Canis lupus familiaris: one gene and its partners. The protein of the gene in region 4 interacts with the protein of the main gene of each other region in a biochemical or structural test. Links are inferred from orthologs where the notes say so. Each region holds a gene or a part of one and is shown on either strand. Other genes may lie near its edges.

Evidence for each region.
Region 1: the proteins of BCL10 (region 4) and IKBKG form a complex in vitro, tested with the Homo sapiens proteins (3 studies listed by BioGRID). The link is inferred for Canis lupus familiaris from reciprocal best matches to the Homo sapiens genes BCL10 and IKBKG.
Region 2: the proteins of BCL10 (region 4) and CARD11 form a complex in vitro, tested with the Homo sapiens proteins (2 studies listed by BioGRID, with this or other methods). The link is inferred for Canis lupus familiaris from reciprocal best matches to the Homo sapiens genes BCL10 and CARD11.
Region 3: the proteins of BCL10 (region 4) and IKBKB form a complex in vitro, tested with the Homo sapiens proteins (2 studies listed by BioGRID, with this or other methods). The link is inferred for Canis lupus familiaris from reciprocal best matches to the Homo sapiens genes BCL10 and IKBKB.
Region 5: the proteins of BCL10 (region 4) and CARD9 form a complex in vitro, tested with the Homo sapiens proteins (2 studies listed by BioGRID). The link is inferred for Canis lupus familiaris from reciprocal best matches to the Homo sapiens genes BCL10 and CARD9.
Region 6: the proteins of BCL10 (region 4) and CHUK form a complex in vitro, tested with the Homo sapiens proteins (2 studies listed by BioGRID, with this or other methods). The link is inferred for Canis lupus familiaris from reciprocal best matches to the Homo sapiens genes BCL10 and CHUK.

What each region holds. Positions count from the first base shown.
Region 1 is NC_049260.1:123,432,841-123,437,158, reverse strand, and holds part of IKBKG (NF-kappa-B essential modulator), read right to left. Parts: coding exon 4,266-4,318; intron 2,363-4,265; coding exon 2,210-2,362; intron 1,686-2,209; coding exon 1,589-1,685; intron 466-1,588; coding exon 322-465; intron 57-321; coding exon 1-56. UniProt on the Homo sapiens protein: Regulatory subunit of the IKK core complex which phosphorylates inhibitors of NF-kappa-B thus leading to the dissociation of the inhibitor/NF-kappa-B complex and ultimately the degradation of the inhibitor.
Region 2 is NC_049227.1:14,345,948-14,350,969, forward strand, and holds the start of CARD11 (caspase recruitment domain-containing protein 11), read left to right. Parts: upstream 1-1,957; 5' UTR 1,958-2,224; intron 2,225-5,022. UniProt on the Homo sapiens protein: Adapter protein that plays a key role in adaptive immune response by transducing the activation of NF-kappa-B downstream of T-cell receptor (TCR) and B-cell receptor (BCR) engagement.
Region 3 is NC_049237.1:24,107,179-24,111,496, reverse strand, and holds part of IKBKB (inhibitor of nuclear factor kappa-B kinase subunit beta), read left to right. Parts: intron 1-2,832; coding exon 2,833-2,940; intron 2,941-4,149; coding exon 4,150-4,279; intron 4,280-4,318.
Region 4 is NC_049227.1:63,255,967-63,261,022, forward strand, and holds the start of BCL10 (B-cell lymphoma/leukemia 10), read left to right. Parts: upstream 1-2,075; 5' UTR 2,076-2,342; coding exon 2,343-2,399; intron 2,400-5,056. UniProt on the Homo sapiens protein: Plays a key role in both adaptive and innate immune signaling by bridging CARD domain-containing proteins to immune activation.
Region 5 is NC_049230.1:49,108,246-49,113,337, forward strand, and holds the start of CARD9 (caspase recruitment domain-containing protein 9), read left to right. Parts: upstream 1-1,924; 5' UTR 1,925-3,384; intron 3,385-4,619; 5' UTR 4,620-4,620; coding exon 4,621-4,858; intron 4,859-5,079; coding exon 5,080-5,092. UniProt on the Homo sapiens protein: Adapter protein that plays a key role in innate immune response against fungi by forming signaling complexes downstream of C-type lectin receptors.
Region 6 is NC_049249.1:13,186,339-13,191,159, reverse strand, and holds the start of CHUK (inhibitor of nuclear factor kappa-B kinase subunit alpha), read left to right. Parts: upstream 1-1,811; 5' UTR 1,812-1,881; coding exon 1,882-1,986; intron 1,987-4,821.

The DNA of each region.
Region 1 (4,318 bases), on a different chromosome or scaffold from region 4:
GCCAGCTTCTCCCGGGCCTGCCTCTCGGCCTGGAAGTCGGCCTTGTATATATCCGCCTGGCAAAGCCAAGAGAGGGGCACGCCCGCCAGCTGTGGGCCATTCACTGCCTGCTGGGGGATCGGGGACAGCCGGCTCCCACCCTCCCAGAGCCGGGGCACAGAGAGTCACCGCCAAGCGCAGACAGATCAAGGAAGAGCAAGGGGCTCAAAGGGCTTCCGTGAAGCCACCGCAAAATGACACCAGGGACATACATACCAGGGCCCAGGGCCCAGCAGGCCCAGTCGGCTGACCCGCACACGGGCCACAGAGAAGTGCCCTCACCTGAGCCTTTAGCACCGGGACGGTCTCCATCACGATCTTGTGCTGCTCGGCCTCTTCCTTCAGCTTGTCGATCACTTCCTGTTTGGCCACCAGGGCCTCCTCGGCCTGCTGGAGCTGCTGCTTGAGATCCTCCAGCTGCATTCCCTAGGAACGGGCAAGGGGGAACTGCAGGAGCCCAAACTGGCCCGTGGCAGGCACCAGGCTGCCACCAGGCCGGCTGCTGCTCCAGGTGAGAAGAACCAAAAGGAATCAATGAAAGATGGGCCCTGGCTGGCCAACCCTGGAGTGGTGGAGAGCACAAGACGACAGGGCGTGCACGGCACAGGAAAGGCAGAGGCTACAGGGAACCTTTGACATCATGTGGCACAACTTCCCACCCAGGCCAACACTCCCTTCCCAGAATCCCCAGCCGGACAGCCCACCTCTAACCTTTCAGCGGACAGGGCCATCCTCCCTCCTGAGGCCATCCCCTCCACGCTCAGCTGCTCTCCCGTGCTAACAGTCCACCACATGCCGCCACGAAGCTGAGACCTGTGGGTCCTGCCACCCTGCCATCCTACAAAGGTCTGCTGCTCCCTCCCAGATGCCCTCAGCCCCCCATGCACACACGCAGATGCATGCACACACAGACACAGCCACACATGCCAGCAAGCCTTCCTCCTGCAGATCGAAAGGCCACAGTTGTGTAACTAACTCTTCCTGGTGTGGTCGGTGTCAGGTGTTACCCTTACAAGCCTTAGAGATGTCCCCTGGGTACATTCGGGTTTGACAGCATCCTTCTTAAAACGCGATCACTTGACATTGCACCCAGTACAGGTCTGATGAAAACCAACCAGAAAAGGGCTCCCAGCACCACTCCCAGTAGTGTGATGAAGTGTCCCACGCCTCACCTTGGCTCTGGGATCTCTGAGCCAGGAGCCAAGCTGGTGGGAAGGACTGGCCACGGAGACAAGCATGTTCCCAGGCCACACAGAGCGCCGCCAGAGGCCCGGCCCAGGGGACCGTAGGCCACACACAGCACAGCCCTAGGATCCCAGTCTCCCACCACCCGCGCTGAGCTGTCACACTGCGACCTTGACAAAGGTCTACGACAAGTCAAACATCCCCCCCAAAATCAAATTCTGGCAAGTGTTCAAATAAGAACTTGAGCTCCCATGGCCCTAAATCAGTGGCAGCAGGTCCCGAGCTCTGCTGTTTCTAGGCGGCAGGGAGAGGAAGCGAAGCAAAGTCAGTCCTACAGTCCCCGCGACAGCCCCACCATACTCACTCGGTTTCGCTCGCTGCTCACCATGCTGCTCTTGATGTGGTTGTCATACTCCTGGAAGAGCTGGTGATAGGCCACCTGTAGCTGGGCCAGCTTCCGCCTAAGGAAGAGGAGCCTTTGCTGGAGAAACCACCTTGTCCTGACCCCGCTCCACGGTCCTCCTCCTCATGTCCACAGACCAGAAAGGGGCTTGCTTGCAGGGTGCGTTTGTGCCTTCAAGGCCAGCAGCCCTAAGACAGGCTTTACTAAATGCTTAGTATCCCTTTGTTTAAGGCTAACGTTTTTAAAAATAAGAACCGTCTATAATAAAGTGGAACAGTCCTGGGCTCTTCAAAAAAGTGAACTCTGTGAAAAACACAGAGATGTGGGAGAAGTGTTCTAGATTAATGGAGACTCCAAGGCACACCAACGGATGCAATGCAGGGACTGGGACCAGACGCTGTTGCCACGTGGGCCCAAAGGGGGCGTCCGGACGTGGACTGAAGAGCACATACCATCGCATCAGAGATGGATCGTGTAGGTGTGATGACGGTAAGGGACGGCCCGCAGACGGGCTCGCTGACAGGCAGAAAGCCCCCGATGGCCCTCTGGTCTCTGTCCCCCCGGGGGCAGGAAGCCACTCACTTCTCCTCCGAGGCAGCCTGGCGCTCCATGCGCAGGGCCGCCTCCACGCTCTGGCTCTGCATGCGCAGCTGGTCCACCTGCACGCTGTGCTGCTGCTGCAGCGCCTCCCGCTCGCTCTCCAGCTGCCGGGCCTGCTCGCTGGCAGCCCGGGCCCTGGCACGGGGGAAGGGGGAGGTCACGGGAGGGCCTCGGCAGGAGTGGGGGGCAGGGTGTCGGGGCGTTCACAGGATCCCCGCGGCACTGAGGAGGAGCTCGAAGCCCGACGGCCCTGGAAGCTCTGCGGCCTGCAGGCAGAGCGCCGTCACGGGGGCAGGAGTTGCTCAGAACATCCTGCCAACGCACAGCCGATCTGCCGTGAGAAAGGACGTGGCTCTCGGATGTCAGGGGGGCAGGGGGGACACACGGTTACCAGAGATGGGACAACCACAGAGAGCCAGCTTGGGGGCGACTCTTTCCCTCCCAGTCACTGTTCTAGAAGCGGCAAGAAGGCGGCTGACCCACCTCCATGGCTCAGCTGCAGTCCCAAATGCATCCGCCTGCAAGAGGAGCCTCCCCAGCCTGGCTGGGTGACAGCAATGGTGCCACAGCTCGTCTCTTCTCACCAGGCCCTCCATGCTCTAAGCCCTAGCACCCCCTAGCCCCCAATCTCCCATCTCCAGTCTCCTATCTTCTCACAGCTCCCCAGATCTCTAACCATGTCATCCTGCTGGCCCCAGGCCCTGCACGGTCCCCACCCCACCGCAGAGGCGACAGGGGCTGCTAGGGCGGGAGGGGGTGGGGCCTGCTGGGGATCATCGCTGGTCTCGCTGTTTCTCCACACCTGTCCAAACAGACTGAGCACGTTTCCATCTGTGAGCTGACGTGGTCATCACCAGGTGGGCCCGCTGCCTGCCCGGGGCGCGGCGCAAGGGTGAGTGCCATTCCCGCAGGACAGACCCCAGGCTCGGGGGACCTCCGTGTGTCAGAGGCGTGAAGCTCTTCAAAGGGCCACACGGAAGGACCTGAGACACCAGCAGGGCTGTGAGGCCGAGCTGTCCAGCTTACCATCTATATGGCCAGCCACAGGGGATAGGACACAGAAGGACACTGCCTGGGAGCCCACACTTGCTGACGTCTGTGCATGGTCGCTAATGGACCAAAATTGCCCCCAGCGGTTTTTTTTTTTTTAAGATTTTACTTATTTACTCGTGAGCAACACATAGAAAAGGCAGAGACACAGGCAAAGGGAGAAGCAGGCTCCCTGTGGGGAGCCCAATGTGGGACTCGATCCCAGGACCCCGGGATCACGCCCTGGGCCAAAGGGCAGACACTCGACCACTGAGCCACCCGGACGCCCCACCCCAGCGGTTTCTTTCACGTACACAGAAAACAGGCAGAAAGGACACCAAATTGTCCTAAAAACAACACATGGGATTGTAGACACCTGGAGGCCGGGGCGGGGTGGGGGGACACAGGGGCAAACAGCAACGCGACAAGCCCAAGGCGAGCAAGCACAACCTTGTGACACCTTTGCTCACACTCCGATTTCTAGATGGAAGCACGTCCACAAGGTCCCCCCAGCGTGGACGACGGCCAACACCATCCTGCCCCCTCCCCTGGGGGGAAGGCAGCCCTGCCGCCACCACGGGGGTCCACCTTTCTCTCTGGAGGGCAGCACCCGGGGCCGTGAGAGCCGAGGAAGCACTGGTGCCTCAGACCCGGGGAGCCGCTTACGGGAACCCCGCCGCGCAGAAAAGAGCAACTGGCCGGCCGCTGGCTTCAGCGGGCCACTTGCGAAGTTGGCCCTCGGGGGGCACCTGGGCGGCGGGCTGCGGGCTGCGGCGAGTCCCCTACGCCAACGTGACCCCCATACTGCAAAGGATGGTCCCTGTGCCCGGACTGCTCGCACGACAGGAGAGTTTGTGCAGCGCCTGCTCTCCCGTGGGATGCGGGAAACCCTTTCCCGGGATCATTACAGCTGAGCCCTCGCGGACGAGGCCGCCAGACGCCCCTCAGCTGCCTCTCTCTTCTCGGGCACCCCAACGGCAGCCCCGGGGGGCGTTCCCGTCCCACTCACCTGCCCTCCAAAGCCTGCCGCTCCTTGGTGGCGGCCTCCAAACGACTCTGGCT
Region 2 (5,022 bases), about 49 Mb from region 4:
CAGTGGGAGCCGTGCTCCTCTTGTCCCCAGCGGTGACTAGTTCACTAAGCACCCTGTGTTCTCGGCCTCCCCAGCCTTGTTTCCCCTTGCCCTGCCATGTTTTCTGGGATCACCTCCCAAATAAACCACTTGCACAAAGATCCTGGTCTCAGCATTGGCTTCCAGGGAAGCCCAAGCCAAGATGTGAAATTATCCTGAGGTTGAGATCCTAGGTCAGAGGGCTCAGCACAGCGCTGGTGCATAGGAAGCCTTGTTGACTACCAGGTGCAATCCTAACCCTCGAATGGGTGGGATTTGCAGGGAGGTGAGCCTTGGAGACAGTTGGGAGAGGTCCAGGTGGAAGGGCGCTGGCGGGGGGGGGGGGGGGGGGGGGGGGGGGGGGGGTTGGGGGCGTGTCAAGGCAGGAGGAAAGAGCGCCCTCTGGGGGTGAGAGGAAGAGGTGCCTGAAGAGTGGATGAAGGGTTGACCAACTTCACCCACCCAGGAGCACAGAGATCTTTACCCTTCTAAACTCCTCACTCCTAAGGGGATGGGCTTAATTTCTCAGAGTCTGTGTTCACGGTCCCTCAGCTCTGTGCAGTTCCGTTTTCCTGGTCCCTGACCCACAGTTCAGGTAGCACAGGTGGGCTCCTTCACCTGGAGCTACAATACTCTTTTCCCCTTTTACTGTTATTCCTGTTATTTATGATCACCTCAAGCATAAAGCTTTATTGTAATCAGAGCAGCATCTTATATCTCTAGACCACCTTTCATCTGACACTTGTCTGACACTCACCAAAGACACTGGAAACTTTAAAGAAGCCACACAAAGCTCTCCTTGGCTCCACCCTCCTCTTAAAGGCAAGTGTCAGGGGCAGGAAAGGAAACAGATCAGATCACATATTTACTCACCAGCCTCCCTGGCTTCTCACAACAAACCACTAAGGGAGGAATTATAAGCCCCAATTTGCAGATATAGAAAAGAGCTTCCTGGAACAAATTTACTGGTTTCTCAGCTCAAGATCATGTGACCCAGACCACACATTCCCAAAAGGCTTCCCACGCGGGCTTGCGACATCTCCAGATGAAGCATACGGACTACGTTAGAAGGAAGACACATTTCCTCCTACTGCTGTAAATCGACCCACGCCGCCTTCCTGCATAATGAATCAACGTCTTTTTAACATAAGCCCTCTAATCGACGTGGGAAAAGCACGATTGTATCACACTGTGTTTAGTTAAAAGAGTTCATTTCTCTCAGGAAAATATTTTAAAATACACAATTTTGTGGCAGTTTTCAGCATGTTGTCACACTCAAGTGTGGGAACCTTACAATGGAGCTCTAAAAATATTGTATTATATATTCGAACATTGCTAAAAGAGTAAATCTTAAAAGCCCTCATCACGAGAAAAAATTTCTGTTAACTGTGTGGTGGTGATGGATGTTAACCAAACCGAACTAACTGTGGTGAGCATTTCGCAGTATGTGAGTACACCAAATCATTATGCTGTACACCTAAAACTAAGAAAATGTTACATGTCAATTATATCTCAACACTGGAGGGGAAAAAAGAAGCGAGATTCTCTAAAAGTAAACATCCCTGTATCATGAGATAATAAAACAAAACGAAGTAACAACTTTTGGGAGGAAGATTTTATTTATTCATTCATGAGAGACACAGAAAGAGGCGGAGACAGAGGCAGAGGGAGGAGCAGGCTCCCTGCTGGGAACGTGATGTGGAACTTGATCCCAGGACCCCAGGATCACGCCCTGAGCCAAAGGCAGCTGCTCAACCACTGAGCCACCCAGGCGTCCCAAGTAACAACTTTCTTAGCTCCAGACTGCAGGGGAACAGACTGTGGGGTTGGGTTTGGCCTGCAGGCTGGAGTTTGCTAACCCTTACTGTGGTCGATTACATTACCAAGAAAAAAAAAAAGGGAAGTGGCCCTGGCCACTCCTGATTCCCAAGAGACCCTCTCTCAGGCCTCTCCCTCATGCCTTTTATTCTGTCTTGGGTTGAGGACCCCAGAAGCAGACCCCCCCAAAAAGATTTGAGGGCAAGCGGTTTACATAGAAGTGGTCCTAGAACATCCCGGTCAGAGAGCAAGGAAGTTGGACAGAGAATGAAGGCAACGAGTAACGGTTTTCCCATGATCCAGTTACCATGGTAAGCAGCTGGAAACCAGCTGGGGACCCCTGGGAGACAGGTGGAGCACACCTCAGATTACCTACCCTGCTATACAGGTGAGTGACTTGGGGTGGGTGATCACCCTCCAGCTGTACCTGCTATTAGCTGAGAGCTGCTCGTGTGAGCCACAGAAAGCCTCTAGGTGGGGAGTCCCGGGTGGCTGCAGATGGCAATGGTGCAGACTTTGTAGCCAGAAGTGTGAGCACCAGGGGACATGAGCGGGGGCCCTGATGGCCTCTCCTGTTAACAGCTTCTTCTGGAGCATGCACCTCCTTATTCAAAACAGCTCTCCTCTTCCTCAAAATGGCTAATCTCAGTTAGTGAGCTCACATTAGGAAACTGTACTCTATTTCCCCCCTCTCTGTGTAAAAAAACAAAATGATTCAGTTTAAATATACATTTTTTAATACATTTTGACAAGGCCAAGAATGCAAGCCCCAAGAGGGCAGGAATGAAACCAACCAGTTGTTTCTACCCCGTTTATTCACAGAATCTCACTCTGTCCAAAGGCTCAATAACAAAGCCACAGAAACAAAACTTTCCATTCTGAGGTGGGCAGTGAAAGAAGGAGGAGGCCGAGGTGGCGGCAGCTGGTCAAGCCTCTACCACTGTTCCTTTTAACAGAAGAGAAACTGAAAGAGCTGCAGCCACAGCCCAGGGTCACATGATGAGTAACAGTAGCATGTGTCATTCTCACATACCCTCGCTCCACTCAGGGGTATGTGGATTCAACACTGCAGCCCCCATGGCACTATCATCCTCCACCCTCTGGCCCTGAACAGCAGTGTTGAGACAGAGCAGGGAGTGCCACTCAGTGGGTCCCCAGACCCTCTGGTCGAATCTGCAGGCATGTGTGAGGGTCTTCTGTGCACAGAATGGAGACGAGGCAGCAATTGGTGCTGTGGCCCAGGCCCATAGTGATCTGGCATGTGCATCAGAGTCTGATTTGTGTCAAAGAAGGGTTCGGGGACTGCCAGAAAAATAGTGTAGGCCTCAGTGCACCAAGGGTGGGACAGTGAGGGTCATTTGCTTGGGTGCAAGCAGTAGAAAACACATTGTCAAAAAAAAAAAAAAGAAAGAAAGAAAAGAAAACACATTGTCTATAGAGAATTTTAAATTAATAATAAGACCAGCTAATTGTGCCAGCAATTCTACATAATGCCAATGATAAATTATTACTTCTTAAAAAATATCTTTGATTGGTCTAAGTGCAAAACAATTGCTGTGGTTACTGCTGGGTTTTAATAATATATATGTGAGCCTCAGATTAGCACATTTTTATTACTTGAAATTTAATAAATATTGTATTCTACGGGGAAGTTAGTTCAGTTCCACAGTCCACCCCAAACACGCACCAACTCATCTACACAGCATGTTCAGTTCAAGAGTATGTTGCCATGGGAACAAGACAAGGATGCTTGTTTCAGCACTTCCACTGGAGCACCTGGCCAAGGCAATTAGGCAAGAAAAAGAAAGAAAAGGCATCCATATTAGGAAAAAAAATGTAAAACAATCTATATTTGCAGATGACATGATCCTAAGGAATCTACTAAAATCCACTTTTAAAACTAATAAACAGGGATCCCTGGGAGGCACAGCGGTTTGGCGCCTGCCTTTGGCCCAGGGCGCGATCCTGGAGACCCGGGATCGAGTCCCACATCGGGCTCCCGGTGCATGGAGCCTGCTTCTCCCTCTGCCTGTGTCTCTGCGCCTCTCTCTCTCTCTGTGACTATCATAAAAAAAAAAAAAAAAAAAAAAAAACTAAAAACTAATAAACAATTTTGGCAGGATTGAGAGACATAAGATCATTATAGAAAAATTGATCATAATTCTACTAGCAATAAACAATATGAAAACAAAATTAAGAAAATTATTCACAATCTTAAGGAAAAAATTAAGAAAATTATTCATTTATAATAGCATCAAAAGCAGTAAAATACTTAGGGATAGATTCAACAGGTGTGTCTTGGTGGCTCAGTTAGTAAAGCAGCCAACTCTTGGTTTCAGTTCAGGTCATGATTTCAGGGTCCTGGGATACAGCCCCAAGTCAGTCTCCACACTCAGCAAGGGGTCTGTTTGGGGATTCTCATTCCCTCTCTTTCTGCCCCTCCCCTTGGCATGCACCCACTCTCTTTCTAAAATAAATAAATAAATCTTTGAAAAAAAGAATAAATTTAACAGAAGAAATGAAGACTTATACACTAAAAACTAAAAATATCATTGAAAGAAATTAAAGATCTAAATAAATGGGAAAACATCCATGTTCATCCTCCTCAAATTGATCTATGGATTTAACACAATCTTATCAAAATTTACTCTGGCTGTTTGGCAAAAATTGACAAGCTGTCTCTAAAATTGATATGGAAATTTAAGGGGCCCAGCATAGCAAAGACAATCTCGAAAATGAAAAACAAAGTTGAGGAACTCACACCTCCTGATTTCAAAGCTCACTACAAAGCTACTGTAATCAAGATATTCTGGTACCAGCTTAAGGATGGACATATACATAATGGAATAAAATTGAGACTCCAAAAATAAACCCTTACTTATAGACAACTGATTCTCAACAAAGGGGCCAGGACCATTCAGTGAGGAAAGAACGTCTTTTCAACGAGGGTGCTGGGATCTGCAAAAGAATGCATTTAGACCCCTACCTCACTCCATACACAAATAGCATATCAAAGTGGATCACAGACCTAAATGTAAGGACTAAAATTACGACCCTCTTAGAAGAGAACATGGAAGTAAATATCTGTGACCTTGGGTTATCACTGATTTCTTAGCTATTTCACCAGTTCAGAAAGTGGCAAAAGAAAAGATCAAGTGGACCACATCAAAATTAAAAATTTTCCTG
Region 3 (4,318 bases), on a different chromosome or scaffold from region 4:
GAGCAGTAATAAGTTCATATGGTTCAAGCTTCCAAAAGTGATAAAAGAGTATGCACTGAAAAGTCCCCTCTGGGCAGCCTCCCCACCACCTGGCTTCCTTCCCCATAGGTACCTGCTACTACTGGTTTTTGGTGTGCTTCCAAGGGTGTTTCATATGGGTACAAGAAAATTGGTCTGTACTTGTCTGTTGGTTCGTTTGTGTTTCACCTCTTTTTTACATCAATGATTAACATAATATGAACTGTCCTGCATGTGCTCACAAAACATTTTTACACCATGAGAATTTCTTTCACACAATCCAGAAAGAACCACTATGAACATTTTTGTGTGTCTCCAGGCTCTTCAGTATATGTTATACTTTTTACAAAAACACAAATTATTATACTCTCCTGTAACCTGCTTCTCAGTCTTGCTATTGAAAATCCTTTATGTTTTTCCATTATTTGTCATATCTGGTATGCAACTGAATGGCTATACTGAAATTTATTTAATTTATGCCCCGTTATTGGAAGCATAGGTGGTTTAGAATTTTTACTTCTTAAAATAACACCAAGAATAATGTTCTTATAGGGAAATCTTTATGGATCCATAATTATTTCCCTAGGACAATTCCTAGAAGTGGAATTAACTGATCAAAAATTATGTGCATCGTAAAGGTTTTTGATGTGTATTAAAATGCTCAACAGAAAGGTTGTATGAATAATGTTTTGACCAGGAACATACAAAGCTGCCTCTTTTACCATACCATTGCCAGCACTGGCTATTATATTTTTCTAAATATCTTTTTGGAAGTAATGAAAACAGTAACTTTTTCAAAGGACAGGTACTTAACTTACATCATTAATTATTTACTTATAAGATTTAGCCTTGGAAATCAACTCTAGAAGAGTGGTTTTTGTGATGGCAGTCCAGTTCAGTCAACATGTATAATGCAAAGAGAAATAAGGCCAGGTGACTGCTTTTCTGGAGTCTGGCAAAATGGCAAAGTATGCCCTCCTGTGGTGGTTTATTTTAAAACAAGCAGTACTTGAGCTGCGTAAGTTCTAGAATATTAAGGAATTGGCTCATTAATTTATAGTCACACCTTATTCTATAACCATCATAAAAATAACTTAAATATCTGTACATCAATATTTTTAACTAATCAAAGAATTGCTGCTTTTCTTCAGTTCAAATGTTGAGCTTTTTCATTATTTTTAACAAGATGAGTTAAAATCCATTCAAACTGGAAGAACAAGTGCTATTTGAAAATATATCCCTAATGTCCCAGCATCTGTATGGTAAGTCTGTTGTCTGCAGAATCAGCTTTTTAGAACTCCACTCCAGTGCTGGAAGGCCAGGTGACACTTCAGGCAGACTTGGACACCCAGTCAGGAGCTGTTTAGTGGACTAGTTTGTGAGAATTATCTGTCTCATTTGTCTTGTAATGCCTTAGACAACTTTTTAAAAATTTCACTCTCTCGTCTCAGATGGCAAGTGGATAGTAATTTCAGGACAGAGGCAGTTTGAGCTTCATAATTCTGTTGTAATGCTACTTTGAAATACTTTTCAGGACCTAACCAATAAACATTTATTTACTATGTCCTTTTATGTTTATAATTTTCCATTGATGGACTAATGACAAGCTTGCCCCTGCCTTACAGTAATCATAGTACCAGCCAGAGCTGTAAGCCGGTGGCCACTGCCATGTGCCAGTGCCTGTAGGCTTCCCACATGCTCCAGACAGGCCAGCTGACCCCTTGCCTATGAGAAGTGTTCAGGACTAAAGTATTTTTTTATTTGAATTTCCCAGGTGTTTTTGGGAAGGAAAGACTTGTACATTCAGACAGAGTAGAAAGAATGGTAGACTTTGGGTTTGAGTCCAGATCTGCCATTCTGTAGTTATAAGACCTTGGGCAAGTCAACCGATCTTCATGTCCTTACCACTGAATGGGGGACTAAAAACAGGGCCTACCACATGGGATTATTGTGGCAAAGAAGCCTGTGTTCGGTGTTGAAGTACTTGGTTATCTATGAAGCATAATTCAAATTTAAGGCATTTTCCTCATCACTGAAAAGCTTTGAAACTAGTTGCGTTTAACATTTTTTCCCCTTCAAATACTATTTCCGGTGCATCGGTGCATCAGTAAGTTCTCTAAATTGGGAAATGTGAATTCATTCACCACTAGAGTTAACATTTAGTCACCTACATTTAGAGGGAAGTGTGTTGCGTGTGCATGTGTTGCGCGTATATCCTATAAACGTGATACGTGTGCAGTGATCCTGGTTTGGAAGTTCTAATTGTATCCTCTGTCAAAACATGAATTTTGGGATCCCTGGGTGGCGCAGCGGTTTGGCGCCTGCCTTTGGCCCAGGGTGTGATCCTGGAGACCCGGGATCGAATCCCATGTCGGGCTCCCGGTGCATGGAGCCTGCTTCTCTCTCTGCCTGTGTCTCTGCCTCTCTCTCTCTCTCTCTCTCTCTCTGTGTGACTATCATGAATAAATAAATAAAATCTTTAAAAAAAAAAAAACATGAATTTTGTATTAGATAAAATGAAAAGTGGAGAAAATTATAAAGACAAGCTAAGGATGAGATTAGAAGTTGGCAGTACTGGCTGTGGTACTCTGGGCACAGGAGGGTTGATGCCTCCACTCCTTCAGGCGGTACAGACTGTTTTTCAGCTCTCAAAGAAATCATCCCAGCCAGATGCAGATGCATTGACTGCTACCCAAAGATAAAATTGCAACCCGGGGGTATCCTGTACAGTTGTAAAGTGATATGTTACAGATGTAAAGTACCTCTTGCCCAAGTGACTTGGGGGCTATAATCAAGGAGATGACATGTTTGCAGGCATTCCAAAGTCCGGCAGAAGAGTGAGATGGACATTGTCGTCAGTGAGGACTTGAATGGAGCGGTGAAGTTTTCAAGCTCCTTACCCTATCCCAATAATCTGAACAGGTAAGGCACAGTGGCACATATCCTCTACGTAGTTTTCTTCCTTTTTTAGAAATAGGTGTCTGCAGTAACATCGGAAAGCTTTTCAAGAGGTTATCAGGATAGCATCCTGTGACTTAAGGACTTGAGATGATCATCTCAGTCATAAACTTAGAATGGATTCCCACTCTTCACCCCATCTAGAAATGATCTCTTTTCTAAATTCACATAACAATTTATCTGTACCTCTTACCACCTTTAGTAGCTTCTAGTTTGTATTACATTTGGTTTTGCATAGGGTTTGTCTTCTAGTCAACCGTAAGCCTTTTCAGATTGTGTTTTTCTTCTCTTTGCACTCCTGTGTAGCCTCATACTGTGTCATAGTCAACAAATCTTTGTAGTTTGCACAGCATTGCAAACTAGTCTTAGAGCCAGAATGTGAACACTTAGATAGTAATATCAACATTGTATAGTAGTACAAAAGAAAGTGGCAAGGCAGTCACACACAGCCGAGTGGTGCAGATAATAATTACCATGAGTATTTAGAGGATGGGGAGAGCGGTAGCGTGTGGACTAGAACTGGAACGACTTTGGATGAGCTGGAACTTTCTGGAAAGATGTGCAGGACATGGATAGATGAAGAGGAAGGAAGGCTGAGGGGGAAGGAGTGAGGGGAGCAAAGGCATGTTCCAGGGGCAGTGCAAAGAGAGTTGGCCTTCGTGGGGGCTGAGAGTGCCTACATGAGGCAGACCTGTGCCCGGGAAGGAGTGTGAACTTTGTTGTGGGAACCATGAGTGGGTTTTGCGCTGCAGGGGTTCAGGAGGGAGGACATGGGATGGGTGTGGATTAAAATAAACCTGGCAGAATGGGGTCTAGCTTGGGGCAGGGGGCTCACCTGGAGGTAGGACACACCTGCGGCATATGAAGAGCTTCACATTTCACTCTCCTGCAGCCAGGTGATCATTGGTCTGTTGACCTATCTGTTGAGAAATCTGGGATTTCAGGGGGTATTTTAGCAGATCAGGTAAAAGGATAAGCACTCAAATCATTAGTCTGGCTGGAAATGTTCGCTTTCTCTCAGGGGGAAATTCATTTTCAATAATCATACTGGTTGCCACGGGTGTATGTGTAGCGGTGAGTGTGTGTGAGGTGCGTACCTTCCAGTTTTGTGTGGGAGGCCGCCTGAGGGCAGTGCAGTGGTCTCCTCCCACACCGTGCCCTCGTTCTTCTCAGCATCCTGGCACAGCGACTGGAGAAGTGGCTGCAGCTCATGTTGATGTGGCACCCACGGCAAAGGGGCACCGACCCTGTGTACGGGCCCAATGGTTGCTTCAAGGCCCTGGATGACATCTTAAACCTAAAGGTAAGTGCGGAGCTAGGTCAGCCCCGAGGCAGCAGTCAG
Region 4 (5,056 bases):
ACTCCACTGCTCAGAACCCTCCAGTGGCTTCCCCTTTGACTCAGAGTACACCCATATGACTCAGTAAAATCAGGTTACACATTTACAGTAGCACACAAGGACCTCATCTCCTTCCCAGTCCCACTGGATATTTTTCATTGGCTGTTCCCTCTACTCATAATGTTCTTTCTCCAAATGTCCACATGACATTACCTCACTCTCTTCAAGTGGTAGCTTAAATCTCCTTTTCTCAGTGAGATCTTCACAAACTACCCTATTTTAAACGTTACCACTCCAGTACTGAGTGATGAATAATGTATAGAATTGTTGAATCATTATATTGTACACTTGAAACTAATATAACACTCTGTGTTAATTATAGTTGAATAAAAATATTTTTTTTTACTGTTAACATCCCATATACCCTTATCCTACTATCCTGTTTTGTATTTTCTCTTAGCATTTGTTATCTTCTAACAGAATAACTTTACATATCATTTTCCAAATGTCTATTTGCTCTGCCCTGAAACACATGTATGCTGGACTTTAAACTCCAGGAAGAAATAAATTTTTACCTATTTTGTTCATAGCTGTTTCCCCAAACCCCAAAACCGTGTCTGGTGCATAGTTGACATTCAATAAATATTTGTAAAATGAAAGAACAAATGGTTAAGTAAATTGGGTTAAACCAAGATGAGGGAAGATTAAGCAATCAGATAAAACTGTACTGTGGATCAATGTAGGAAAAGACACATGATGTAATGTAAATGTTAGAAGCTTATGATGGAGCCCGAAGCTGCTAAGAGACATCTGTGTGGCTTTGGCAACATTGTCCTTTTCTGGTTCTTTTGCTTTCCCTTCCTTTAAATGTTAGAGTTCTCAAGAGGTATCCCACTGGCTGGTTCTGTGGGTAGAGCATGTAACTCTTGATACTGGGTTGTGAGTTCAAGCCTCATGTTGGGTGTAGAGTTTACTTTCAAAAAATGTTGGACTTCCCAAGTTTGTCTTTGTCTATCTACCTCTTGTCCTGTCTACCCTCACTGCTTCAAATACCACGGAGTTTATTCAGCATGTTGTCCAAACCATTGTCTTGGGCCCATTGTCTTGTGTTTTGAACTTCTCATCCACATTATTCATTCTTTTTTTAAAAAAAAATATTTTATTTAGTTATTCATGAGAGACACACAGAGAGAAGCAGAGACAGAAGCAGGCTCCTTGTGGGAAGCCCGATCCTGGACTGGATCCCAGGACCCCAGGATCACCACCTGAGCCAAAGGCAGATGCTCAACCACTGAGCCACCCAGGTGTCCCCATTCTTCATTATTCATGTTGTTCTGTATACACTTCCATTAGTAGTTAGATACCATTCTGGGCGTAGTTGTCTGCTTATCAGTCTCCCCCATAAAAATAGAATTCTTCTAAGATAAGATGACTAGACATATTAGTAAGGACTCAATAAGTGTTTGGGTAGTAAAAGATCATCATAAACGGAGTTCATACTGTATGCCAAGTACCTCTGAGAACCTTACATATATAGTATCATTTAATTCTCACAGCAGCCCATAAGGGATGTAAGGTAGACATCCCTTCATCACACAGATGGAACAAATAAGGAAACAGGATCATAAAAAAGTGACCAAAAAGCATGCTGACGTTAAATCGAGTGCTAAAATGAAAGGATTATAGGCGGTTTTTCTCTTTCAAAAATGTCTTGACAAAAAAAAAAAAGTCTTGACTATTGCAGCGGAGCTGCCCGCGGGCCGCGTCCGAGCAGGCGGGTATCTAACCCCACAGCTTCAGTAGGTTAAGGCAGCGGCCGGAAGCTGCGGGGCGGGGTCTGGGGAAAGGGGAGGAGCCCGGGGGGGACGGTCCGGCAGAGACCCGCCTCCGCCGGCGAGCGGTCCGCAAAGGCGGGGCCTGCGGCGGGAGGAGCCTCGGGCCCCACCCACGGAAACGCTCCCGGCAAAGGACGCGCGGGGGCTGTGGGCGGGGCCGGGGGCGGGGCCAGGCTCGGGCCCCGGGCCGGCAGCGATTGGCTCCCGCTGGGAGGGGGCGGGCCCCACGGCCAGCCCCGCCTCGTCGGGGGGCGGGGCCTGCGCCGGCGCCTCCGGGAGAGGAAGGAGCGCAGCGCGGAGCCCGCTGGGGGACGCCCAGGTCTGCGGCGCCCTCGGCCCCAGAGGCGGAGCCGGAAGCTCTACGGGCTCGTCCGTGAGCCTCTGTTTTGGAAGCGGCAGCCCTCTTCCTCTCGACCCGCTCCGCCTGCCCTTGTCGCCGCTTCACCCGGAGGCCCGAGTCCCCTGCCTGGCCGGGCGGTGCCGCCGCAGCTCCCGGACCCGGAAGAGGCGCTACCCCGCTCCTCCGCCATGGAGCCCGCTGCGCCGTCCCTCACCGAGGAGGACCTGACCGAAGTGAAGAAGGACGTGAGTAGCCAGCCTTGCCCGGGCGCCGCCGAGGGCCGGGGGTCGCGGGTGGGCAGGGGCAGGCCCGGCCGGGCGGGCGGGCGAGGAGAGCGGAAACGCGGAGTGGGAGTCCGAGCCGGAGAGGAGCAGGAGCCTGCGGGTCCGAGGGGCTCCAGGTCCGGGCGCTGCTGCACGACGGCGCCCGAGGGACCTCGGTGGAAGCGACCCCTCGTGACCTGTTAATCCACGTTTAGGTCGCTGGGTTCTGAAACCCTGTCCAGTGGAGCGTTTCACCGCACTCAGCTTCTTGCCGACTCTCCACTCCTCCCCGGGGATCTCTACCCCCCACCCCTGCGCTTTGGGGCCGCGTCGTCGGGAGTCGACTGCCCAGGTTCCGCCTTGAGTCACACTCCCTAGGCTGCTGGCCCAACCTGGAGCGACAGCTGGACCCGAGAAAGGCTCCAAGCAGTGGAGCAAATATGTGAAACTCTCTTATAAAGGGGGGTTGGGGGAAGCTCAACAGCTGAAAGCACAACCTGGAATTCCCCTAGTAAGCAAACGCCCACATATTTAAATTGGGGGGTGGGTGTAGCCGAAAATTAATTTACAGGTAAATGCTGAAAATATTCAGTACCTAAATTATGCCCTTTTGCTTGGATGCTGCAGAACTGCACAAATCTTAGTACTTATTTGTTGAGGTATCTCGTTTCTTTTGCTTTTAATTACTTGTTTTGCCACGTGAGACCTGTAGGAGTACCCCCAAAATACTTCGTGTAATTTCGAATTAAAACCAGAAACCCAACAGAAAATGAGTTCTGCAGCACTTAATACAGAATTATATTTGTGAACTGGACAAGACAGCAGCTTTTTTAGATGTTCATCTACCTTAGATGCTTACCCCCTTTTCTCCCTTGAAAGGTTTATTACACTGCACTCATAATTACATAATGACAATTGGAATGACTCATTAACAGAAGGAAACTGGATATGACAGGGATTTGTGCCTTAGTTTGCTCATTCAGCGATACAGATGGAGCGCTTAGTATATGGAAGGCACTGTCCTTGGGCCTGGAAAGATACAAAAAAAAAAAAGATAATCTGGCCTCTGCTTTATATTCTAGTCGAGATAAAACCGGGACATTGATAACTACCACAGAATAAATGAGTGTTGTCTTATATAAGATTGGTGCCAGTGGAACCATGCACTTCAAGAGCTAAGCCTGTGGTGTTCCAAAATCTTTGTCACATAATTTGCAATGTTCCCATTTAATCTTTACAGCAGTGCTGTGAGAGGTTACAGTTGGGCATAAATATAAAACCTGTACACAAACACAGTTGTGAAGAGTGTCTTCCAGGTCTCTTTTTTATTTATTTATTTATTTATTTTTTCTCTTTTTTTTTATATATTTTTTCATTTATTCATGAGAGACACAGAGAGAGAGAGGCAGGCAGAGACACAGGCAGAGGGAGAAGCAGGCTCCATGCAGGGAGCCCGATGTGGGACTGGATCCCAGGTCTCCAGGACCACGCCCTGTGCAAAGGCAGGCACTAAACCATTGAGTCATCCAGGGATCCCCAGTCTTCAGGTCTTTATTCACTTTTTTTCCCTGTCAGTTCATTGATACTATCCATCTCCATGATTTCAATTTACAGCTATCTCAGCAATTCATAATCTTGGGGAATCATGAAGGGGTCTCAGGAGGTCTATGAAAAAAATGTATGTGCACATTTTTTTTCTTAGAGATTTTTTTCATGCTATTTTCAAAATGGTTGATGACCTCAGTCTTAAAATTATCATACAAATATTTGCACTTCCTTCTTTGTCAACTCTAGATGCTTGTTTCCAAATATCTACTGGAAATTTACTTTTATGTTCTGTACACTCCTCATCTTGTCAGAAATTGAACTTTTTATCATCCCTTCCCCAAAGCTGCTTGCTATATTCTCTGTCTTGATGGATAGTATGCCACCACCCCAGCCTTCTGGAAAGTCCCACTCTTTCATTATGCTCCTCCCTTCCCCCTGCCCCCATCAACTTGTTTACCTCATCTTTTGGATTACATGCTGCTGTGAGGTATGCATGGTTCTAACAATTCGAAAATTAGAAATTAAGACGCAATCCCAGTTTGAAAAGAGCTTAATTTCCTGGAAGGAGGGAAACAGACATAAATTAATAATTGCAAATTACAGAATAAGTGCAATGAATTTTGCATTCATCTAGAACACTATCTACTTGACACTCTGCTAAGTGCAGGATATACAGAGTTGAACAAAACAAATGTGGTTTTTGCCTGCTTCAAACATATAGGTCATTAAGGTTGAAGACAAATATATGCTTACAAATTATGCTAAGTACTATGAAGGAGACAAACAGGTATTGAGACAGTAGCAGGGGGAATCAACTTGACATAGGACGGTCAGGGAAGGTTACATTTAAAGTGGTTGCTGAAGAATATAGCAGAACTGGGGCAATAATCCTCTAGGCAGAGTAAGGTTTGTAAAGGAACTAAAACAGGCAAGACCTTGGTGACTTGGGGAAATTGGAAACAGGCAGAGGGTGCTCTGAGAAGTTAGGAAGGTTGGCCTAGAGCCAGATCATGGAGGATTTTACAGATGGTAATAAAGTATTAGGATTTTTCTCAAGTGTAGTAGGGGTCTGCTGAAGAACTATGTTAATA
Region 5 (5,092 bases), on a different chromosome or scaffold from region 4:
AAGACCGGGGTGTAGGAGGCTGCTCTGGAGTGTCCTCAAGGGCAATGGAGCCCCTACGTTGGGGTAGGGGGAAGCAAGAGCCCACGTGTGGCCCCTGCATGTGCTGGGGCCTCTGGTCCTCTGCGAGCCACACTGTCTGCAAGGATAAGGTCTGGGGAGCAGCCTGACCCTGCACTGTGCTGTCAGCATGTAGCTTACCCCCTGGCGTGACTGCTCGCTGCCACTGCTCTCCCTATCTGTCCTAGTGGGGACTCACTCCTGTGCCCTCTTCCTGGCTTTTGTTTCAGGGAGCCCCAGACCCTGGGCAGAGCCTGGACGGTTGTGACAGCCTTGATGTGCGCAGAACCCGGCATGCCTGGCATGCCCGGAAGCGGCAACGGCTGGTGTGAGCAGCAGGGTAAGCAGGGGCAGGGGTGGGTGCAGGTACCCCTATACCATGGGCCTTCCCCGTGCCTCTGTTCTGGGCACACAGGAGCCCACAGCTTTCCAGATGTGGGGCAGACTATCATCGCCCTTAGGAGCTCACATCAAGTGTGATGGGGAGGGTTATACAGGCCTATGGGAGCCGTTTGTGGGGAGGGCCATGTAATCCCTCTCCCCTAGCTACACCCTCGCCCACTGGGTTGCACACTCCAGGCTCTGGTGCTTCCTTCTTGCTGACCCACGTGTGCCTCGGGGCCTTTGCACTGCTGTCCCCTCTGCCTGGCCTTCGTCCATGTCTGTAAGGCTTGTTCCCTTATCCCAATCATGTCTGCTCAGTGTTTGGCTGTTCAGAGATGCTCTCTCTGCCTGTTCTCTTGGGGCAGTACCACTGTCAATGTCTGTCTTGCTAGCACTGTCTCTTCTACACCCGACATGGTTTACATGCGTGTCTGCCATAAACGTGAGCCCTTAAGGGCGGTGATATGATTTGGTTTTTGCTGCCGGGTCCTCAGTGCCCAGAGAGCAGGCATCAAGTAGGCCCTCAGTACGGATTAGTTGAGTTCATGGTGCAGAGATCCCATGTGGGGGAAGATGTCTGGTCTACAGAGGTGGGAGCCAGCTCCTGCGAGTGTAGTGGGGCTGCGCCCTGAGAGGGTCCACAGAGGGGATGCTGGGGGTGGGGGTGGGGGCATCAGAAGCCCACCCAGGCTCTAGGGCCTGCCCTCAGCATGGCCCCCTGCATGGACTGCAGGTGGGCAGCCAGACCCGGTTCTGCGCCCTCGGAGGAGGCCTAATGCCACCTTTGGTTCCTATCCTACAGCACCATCTCTGGGGTCTGGCTGGGGTCAGGGTGTCCCCACCATCTGGGCATCTCTGTGTTCCAGGAGGCGGGAGCCATGCTGGACCCCAGTGAGCCCACCTGCCTGTGGAGCCCAGCTCCAACCCTCCCGGAGGAAGCAGCCTAAAGCAGTTGGAGGCTGGGGGAGGCTTCGCCGTGTGACCGTGAAGCCACTGGGGCTTGGCTAGTCCTCCAGCACAAATCGGAAGGAATGTTTGAAGGAATAAAGTGAATGGCTTATTTTTTTATTAAAAGGCAAGCCCCAGATTCTTGTTGCCTTAAGAGACTGGGCAGAGGGTTGGGGCTCCCCTGACCGTGCCAGGACCCGGATGGCTGGGCCCTGAGGTCTGAGGAACCCCCTGAGCTCCGGGCCACCGTGTAGGACGTGGGGAGTGCCCTTTGCACAGAACACGCTTGTGGCTCAAGCCCCAGGGCCTGCCAAGAGCTACCAGGCAGCTGCTGCCTTGGTGGGGCCACAGGGAATGGGGTGGACCTGCCTCACTGCCTTCCTGACCACACCGCCGACCCAGGCAGGCATCTGGAACCAGCGGCTGCCCGCCTGCCCACAAGTCACGCAGCGGCCCCAGGCCGGCATTGCCTTCCTCCTGAGCAGCTGCTTCTTGGTGGGAGGCCAAGCCCCAGCACCCTTGGTGCTCTGAGGGACGCGGTGCACAGCCTTGGCTTTGGTGTGCAGCCTTTTGAGGTGCTTGGTTCTAGAGGCTTCATGCCTGTGCTCTCCAGGTGTGAGCATGCCCTGGGGTGCTGTACCCACCCACCAGGGGGCTGACCCACCACCGTGCAGCCTCATGCACAAGCTCTTAGCTTTTCAGTTTGCACCTGGGGCTTTTTCAGCTCGTTTCTGCTTTCCTTGGGGGCTCCTTTAGACCTATGGCTAGTTAGAGGTCTCTTATTTTATTTTCAAACGTTTAGGGATTCTCCAGTTAGCCTTTTGTTATTGATTTCTGGCTTTTGATACAGAGAACAGAACATTTCTGTCATTGAATTCTTACCAACACCCCCGTGGGGGAGACACCCTTTATTAATTTGCTTTTGCAGAGCAGGGAAACACTGCTGGTCATAGCTCCTGGAGGGCCCAGGACTGGCTGTTCTGGAAGCGCGATGGCAGCCTCCATCCACCCAGGGTCAGAGGTCCGAGAGCCTACAGGCGGGGAGCCTGTCAGGCAAGAGGCAGCTGCCATGGGAAGGTGGGGCTGGGAGCCCTGCTCAGGACCATCCTGGCCTTTCCCTAGCAATTGCCTCAGCCTGGCAGCCAACAACTTGGACCAACCGGCCCAGCTGCGCCAGTGAGGCCTTGGCCTGGGGGTTTCCTGGCAGACCCTGGTCTGGAGGCCTGCTATCCTGGCTATTGGGTGCAGCTCTGATGGCAGAAACAGCCCTTCTGAAACTGGTTTGCGGGGCCATGATGAGTGGCCTGGGAGCCTGCTGTCACAGTCCCGAGTGTCCTAGTAAAGAGGTTGCTAAGTGGAGACACTCCCAGGAAGGGATAGGGTGTGCAGTGTAGCAGGGGCCGGTGGCCATGTGGGGCAAGCACGGACAGGCCACAGTGGGGTCTCCAGCCACATGCCTTCTGGACGCTACACCAGCCCTCATGTGATCAAGGCCCGGCTGGCCTACTGTGTGTGTGGGCATCTGGCTGAAATCCCAGAGTTAGGCCTGAAGCCCTGGGATCTCCTGCACTTTGCAGAGGGCCCACGCTGCAGGTTCCCAGCCAGCCCCTGGTGGAGAAGCCTCCAGAAGCCTGCGTTCAGGCCAGAGCGGACTAGACAGTGCATTGGCCTCATCCAGCTCCGGGGAGGGTCCTTGCTCACACTTCCACTTAGTGGATGCCAGGGGTGGGCCTCCAGGCCTCTGAGCAGGACTTCCACTTCCCTCTGCCCCGCCTCTTGGGCCCTGCCAGGCGGGCGAATCAGAAGGCAGGCCCAAGGACCCACTCCCTCTGGGAGGACCTTCCCGGCTCTGTGGAGCTGAGCAGCACCATCAGGAAGTGCACAGCTTTTCCTCCTGAGCTCCACTGGGCTGCCAGCAGCACCTCCTGTTCATCGGATCAGGCCAGCCTGGGCTGACCAGTGTCCACTGCACAGGTGCCTCTCGAGGACCCTGAGGTAGGCTGGTTGGCTGCCCTCTCAGGGTGGCCAGGAAGACACCCATCTCTCTGCTCAGGGCTCCTGGGGCACATACCCCAGAAGAGCACCCAGGGCCTCCACTCCTGCCCTGTCCTTCACAGCCACCTGAGACCTGCTTGTTCAGCTCGGTGGAATTAGAGGCAGGGGTCAGGTGTGGGACCTGTGGATGTAGGTGGGAAAGGCAGGAAGCGGGCTGAACGTTCCAAGGGCCATCCACTGAGTTGCTGGTGTCTCTCTGGCTGGATGGTGTGGCCAAGGGCTGCAGGAAGTTCAGGAAGCTCCTCCAGAGGCCCTGCCTGCTGCCGTCTGTCTCTGGGAGTATGGCCTAGCTCCTCTGGGTGGCAAACCTCCGCCCACAGTTCCTACGCTGGCTGAGGGCAGTCTGAGGTGGCAAGTCAGGGTCTCTGTCCCCACCACTGGGAGGAGGCTCCTGGTTTGGCCCAGGCCTCGAGCGTGGTCTGTGCCCGCCAGTGGAAGGGAGCAGCAGTGGGTAGTCCCAACACGGATGGCCCTGGTCAGGGAGCTGGCACCCTGCGTGCCCAGGAACAGGGAGAGGAGCCCAGAGGTGGCTGGTGCCTGGTCCCTAGGAGTCTGCAGAGGGCACAGGAGCGGCGTGGGTGCTGGCCATGCCAATGCAGCTGGGCCCCTCCTGGTGCAGCGGTCCACAGCTGCCCTTCCTGAGCCAGCCGGTGCCTGGGCCACTGTTGCACCACCAGCCAGCCGCCGGAAAGAGAGGAGGCGGTGGGGCTAGGCCCTGAGCAGGAGCCATGTCCAAGAAGGAGGAAGTCCTACAGCAGCACAGGCTGGCGTGTACGTGGGCAGGTCAATGCCCCAGGCGTGCCTCCCCAGCCTGGGCGCCTACCTCCCTGTACCTGCCAGGGAGGCCCTGCCAGTGGGTACGAGGTGGTGGTCTGCCAGACTCACGCTTTAGGGATGGGGGTGCAGAGGCCAGAACAAGGCCACAGTGGGGGGGGGGGTATTCTCAGATGCCGCCAGTCCCTGAAGCGCCTCCACATCTTCCCTCACACTTATCAGGGTGACTTGGACAGAGAAAGCCTAGGTCACCTGCTGAGGGAGTGGCTGCAGGGTCTAGAGAAGGCCGGGAGGGCTGCCCTGGCTGAGCTGGTGCCCCGGTCAGAGCACCAGCGCAGAGGAGGGAGGGCCAGGGCGGGTGAGGCTTCACACCTACCTGTCCTGGACTCCCCTGGGCCCAGCATGCAACTGTCCCTGCCAGCTGCTCTCCCACCAATCGCAGCGGTGGCCGCCACCATGTCAGACTATGAGAACGAAGACCAGTGCTGGAGTACCCTGGAGAGCTTCCGAGTGAAGCTCATCTCCGTCATCGACCCCTCGCGCATCACGCCCTACCTGAGGCAATGCAAGGTGCTGAACCCCGATGATGAGGAGCAGGTGCTCAGTGACCCCAACCTGGTCATCCGCAAGCGGAAAGTGGGTCAGTGCTGCCTCAGCCGGGAGCTTTGAGCACAGGAATGGGCGCTCCCCAGCACCCCACACCCTGTCCTGTCTGCTGGGAGCCGTGGTGCTTCCATGCACAGCAGACACCCCTGGGAGGGCAAGGGTGCGTGGGCAGCAGGTAGATCTTGACCTGGGCTGGGCCTATAGGAGCTCAGTGCACAAGCCCAGCCAGCCCCAGCCTGGCCCTGTGGGTTTCAGGAGTGCTCCTGGA
Region 6 (4,821 bases), on a different chromosome or scaffold from region 4:
CTTGGAAATAGAGTGGTCCACAAGTACATGAAAAAGAGAGGGAAAGATCACAGAATGCTATATCTTGGAAGCCAAGAGAAAAATAATTGTTCCTTTATATTGGGCATTTATGGCCCAAACAGTTTCACTTAATCCTTACAGAACCTCTGAGGTAAGCATTATTGCTTCCATTTTATATGTGAAAAAACAGACTCTCAAACTTGAAGATTGTGAAACCTAAGGTTGACTGTTCCAGGATTTAAAAACAAGCTATGCAGCATCCCTGAGAATGGGGATGTGAAGAGTCAACTATGGCAAACAACCTGGTTCCTGCAACTATGACCACTTCAGGGTCAGCGCACTCATCAGTATCCCTCCCTAGCTCTTCCAAGTGAGCGTTACAAGAATATGGCTCCAACTGTGGAGATCAAACATACTCTAGTGCTAGCTATGCAGTACACCTAGCAGACAAAGGGCTTTATATGTTAGGGGCAATTGGTACCACAATCATCTGTGCAGTCTGCCCAACTCTAGCAGATGTTTGGGAAGTACCATTTGCCATCACCTCCAAGTCTGATACTCCAGCTCCATAGCAACCAAGCACATGTAGGAATCCATCATCTGCTACCACACATTACTGAGGCCTAACACGGCTTGTACATGCCATGCTCAACATTTTGGTTGTACCATTCAGGGATTCTGAATCAATAGATGCATGTTCTCTGCCAGAAGCCAATTCAATGCTTTCAAAGCAGCCAGCAACACTGCTGTGATGCACATGCTGTATTCATCTTTAGGCTTCTCAACATGTTAATCTGTGGGTCACAAAGTGTTGGTTGGAATTTAAGTACTGAGATCACAGGTGGGACTGTGCAAACGATGGCCCAAGTGCACATGATGTCAAGGGGTGTTCAAATGACTACTTTATGGAAGCAGTAACTGATATATTTCTTCAGAGAACTGGATGCCATAGTAATTTTTATACCCAGTTCTGGATATACTGACTGGATCCCCAAGTTCTGTGAGGCTGAGGCATATGACCAACTTAAAGTGAAAATGGGAGGTTGGTTCTTCCATGCTAAGGCTATCTGCCAATGGCAAATGCTTCTAGTTGCACCAACAGCATTCCTGAAGCTTGCCTCTGCAGCGCTGCATCACGAATCAGACACAGTTCCCTCAGTGAGGAACCACTGCACTGGCAAACCCATTAATGGAAGACCGACCACTGGACTGCAACCTCCATGAGGCACTTCGGGGAAAATTCCCCAAATCAGGAGGAACATTCTTTACTCCACAACAGTGTCACATCCTTGAGTCCTTTGTGATTACAGGCGAGATCCTGGTACAGGTGTACAGGAAGTCAAGCAAAAGATCTGAGCCTGATTTTATGGAAGATGATTAATCATTAAAAAAAAAACTATAAAGTGTAATGCATCGGTAGACGTGTTAGCGCAGGATTCTTTATAGTTTTTCGGATTCCGCAATATTTGAATCACTGGTGGCTTCTGCCAGTGCCACTTCAGCGAGCGGCGGAGTTGGAGGATAGATGGTAGAGGTCTGAAGAAAAGGTGAAATGCAGACAGGGTGGAGACGATGTGGAGTTTAGAACATGGCTTGAATGGAGAGCTTATAGTTTGGAAGCCTGGGAAATCCTATGTGGGTTCTCTCAGCCAGGAGAATGCCCAGGAGACTTAGCGGACTGGAAGCGAGCTGCCCTCATCCCGACCCTTTCTCTGGCCAGGTTCCTGTGTGCCCCCGGGAGCAGCTAGGGAAGGGCTTTTCCTGTGGCGGTTACCGGAAGTGACGCACACATCTCGCGAGAAGAAAGACGCGCGAGTCTCGGCGGCCCGGAACCGGCCTGGGAAGAGTGGCTGAACTTCAGGCCGCCAGCCCTCCCGCCCCATGGAGCGGCCCCCGGGGCTGCGGCCGGGCGCGGGCGGGCCTTGGGAGATGCGGGAGCGGCTGGGCACTGGCGGCTTTGGGAACGTCTGTCTGTACCAGCATCGGGTGAGGTGGGGCGAGAGAGGGAGCGGCGGTGGGTGTTTGTCAGAGCGTTTGTGGAACACAGCGACTGTCAGTACGTGAGACATTGTCGGTGAGACTTTGGGCAGCACCGTGGGCCGGTGAGCCTGTGTGAGTGAGTGTGTATTACTGTGCTTGTCGGTCTGGTGACTGAGTCCGAAGCTGTATCTGAGGTCCTGGGTCAGTGTGTGAAATAGAGCTCTTGTGGGGGAACTTTTGGTACGAACGTCAAGAAGTGACAAACTGTTTACCGAGTGTGACACTGCGATTGTGTCTCCGAGTGTAGAGGGTGTCGGGATGTGGGAGGCAGAGCCACATTAGAGTGTGTATTGTGAGCATGAATGGGTGAGAAAACGGGACTGAAGAAGGGGGTTGTCTGTTGGAATGTGTGTTCAAGTGTGTGCTTGGAGGCTGTGTGATATTTGTAGGGGCTGGAAGAGACAAGGAAGGTTTCGGAAGCATCCAGTAGGCTTCAGATCTTGGAATGCGTTCTGAGTAGGGAACAGTGTGAGGATCAGCTTGGTGAAATGATCATGGCTTCCTAAGGGAAGGAAGTAGATTGGGCGTGAGGTGGAAGACAGCTAACATCGGAGTCAGGAATTTTGCTTCAATTTAATTGAAAATGTTTAAGCATTTAGCAGCAGTTAATAATCATGTTTGAGCCATGCATCTTTCAGTATACCAATAAAAGCTATGAAACCTTTCCCCAGCAAAATGCACAGTTGCACATCCCCACCACCTTAGGTGCTGCCATTTGAGGGGGCTCATGCTCTCCTGAAGGATGTTCACAAACCTTTTAGAGGTATTAACCCTTGACTGATAATCTTTGCAGTGTTGCCTTTGTTTTTGTCATCTGTATTTTGTGTAAGATAGTTATATACATCATAGGTCTGTTTGAAAGTTAAAGAAGTTAATATGGGTAAAGCTAAGTACAATACCTGGCCTAAGTTAAGCCCTCAAGTGTTAGTTCCTGCTGCTGTTGTGTTGTTGCTATTGTCATCTTCTTTACCATTATTTTGTTTTCTTCTTTACCATTATTAATTAAACTTAAAAAAGGATACGTCAAGATAAAAGTGGCGCCCTTGGAGGACTGTTTTGTAAAAGATAAATCTGAGTGAAAAACACGGGACAAGATGAACAATTACAATATTATTCAAATGCATGCAATTGGCTTGTAAAGGGAATAAATGAATTCAAGATTTGCTTGAATCTTAAGGAATAGGGGTATGGGTAGAGAGCCCATAATATAGGATGGGAGGTAGGGGCATGGGAGTATACCTGGGAAAAATAGGTATGTTTGTGTGGCAGTCACAATGACAAATGTCAGTGATGGAGCTGAAGAAATGTTGTGAAGCAGCTTTCTAGATAGAGCATGGGAGGACATCTTGAAGAGAGGGAGAATGGGAGGTGAAGGACTAAAGCATTAAGTACTCTGACAGCTAAACAAGTAGTAAATTTAATAATTCTCACCATCAGAGAGTACATAAGGCACTTAAAGAGAAAAGAAGGAGCCAAGTACTTCCAGTGAAATGTTGCCTTTGGTGTTGTTATCTAAGCCTGTTCATTAGCCTGGTCATAAAAAAATATATGCTTGGTAGCTTGCTTTGTGACTGCTTTTCTTGGTCACTGGTTGGAAATAGATCAACACATCATTTTTTAAAAAAATTGTGATAAGGTATATATAATGTGAAATTTACAATCTTAACCATTTTTAAGTGTACAGTTCAGTGGCATTAAGTACATTGACATTGGTATGCAACCATTACTACCATCTATTTCTAGAACTTTTTCACTTTACCAGTCTGAAACTGTATTCATTAAACAATAACTCCCCATTTCCTCCTCCCCCTGCCCCCTGGCAACCACCTTTCTACTTTCTGTCTCCATGGAATTAATTACTTATTAAATGGAAGAGATTTGGGTTCCTCTAGAATCCTAGAAATCTCTCAGGAACTTTCCAGGTATCTAGACTGGTTCTTTCCTCAAATTGGAACATTTGACAACGGGGCTTGTAGTGGAAAGAGAAGAAATACTCTAAGACTTGGAAATAGCTTCATTACTTTTCCAAGCCTGACTTTGGATTTGCCCTTAACAGTTTTCAAGATCTTTGTGTTTTGGTGGAAGCCACGTCCCCAGTATTTTATCTATATCTCTTAAATCACAATGAGGAAGAGAAAAGGATGTGAGATGGTTTATTTATCAGATTATTATGCTGGGATGGGTGCTGATGGTATCCCAGTCAACAAAAATCGTATTTTCTGCCCTCAAGGAGATTTCAAGTCTAGTGGGAGAGGTAGACACAAAAACACTTTAAGTACAGCGTGGTAACCTATATAACAGATATATTTATAAATTTTTTTTTAATTTTTATTTATTTATGATAGTCTCACAGAGAGAGAGAGAGAGAGAGAGAGAGAGGCAGAGACACAGGCAGAGGGAGAAGCAGGCTCCATGCACCGGGAGCCCGATGTGGGATTCGATCCCGGGTCTCCAGGATCGCGCCCTGGGCCAAAGGCAGGCGCGAAACCGCTGCTATGATAGAGTGGCAAAAATAACCAAAGAATTCTTCCTAGGGAATAATGTAGCACTTCTCAAAGTGTGTTTGGGAAAATTAGTCCTGTGAAATGCTTTGAAAAAAGGATACTGTAGTCAAATACATTGGGTAAATTCTGTATGTAATATTGTTTCACTTGGAGAGTGATATTAGCATATTAAAAGTGATATTAGCATATTAAAAGCTCTGAGAAGTTCTTTAGTAAAGAAACTAATTTAACTTTGTATTTTCCAGTTTTTTTATTTTGGTAAAATAGATAGTATTTA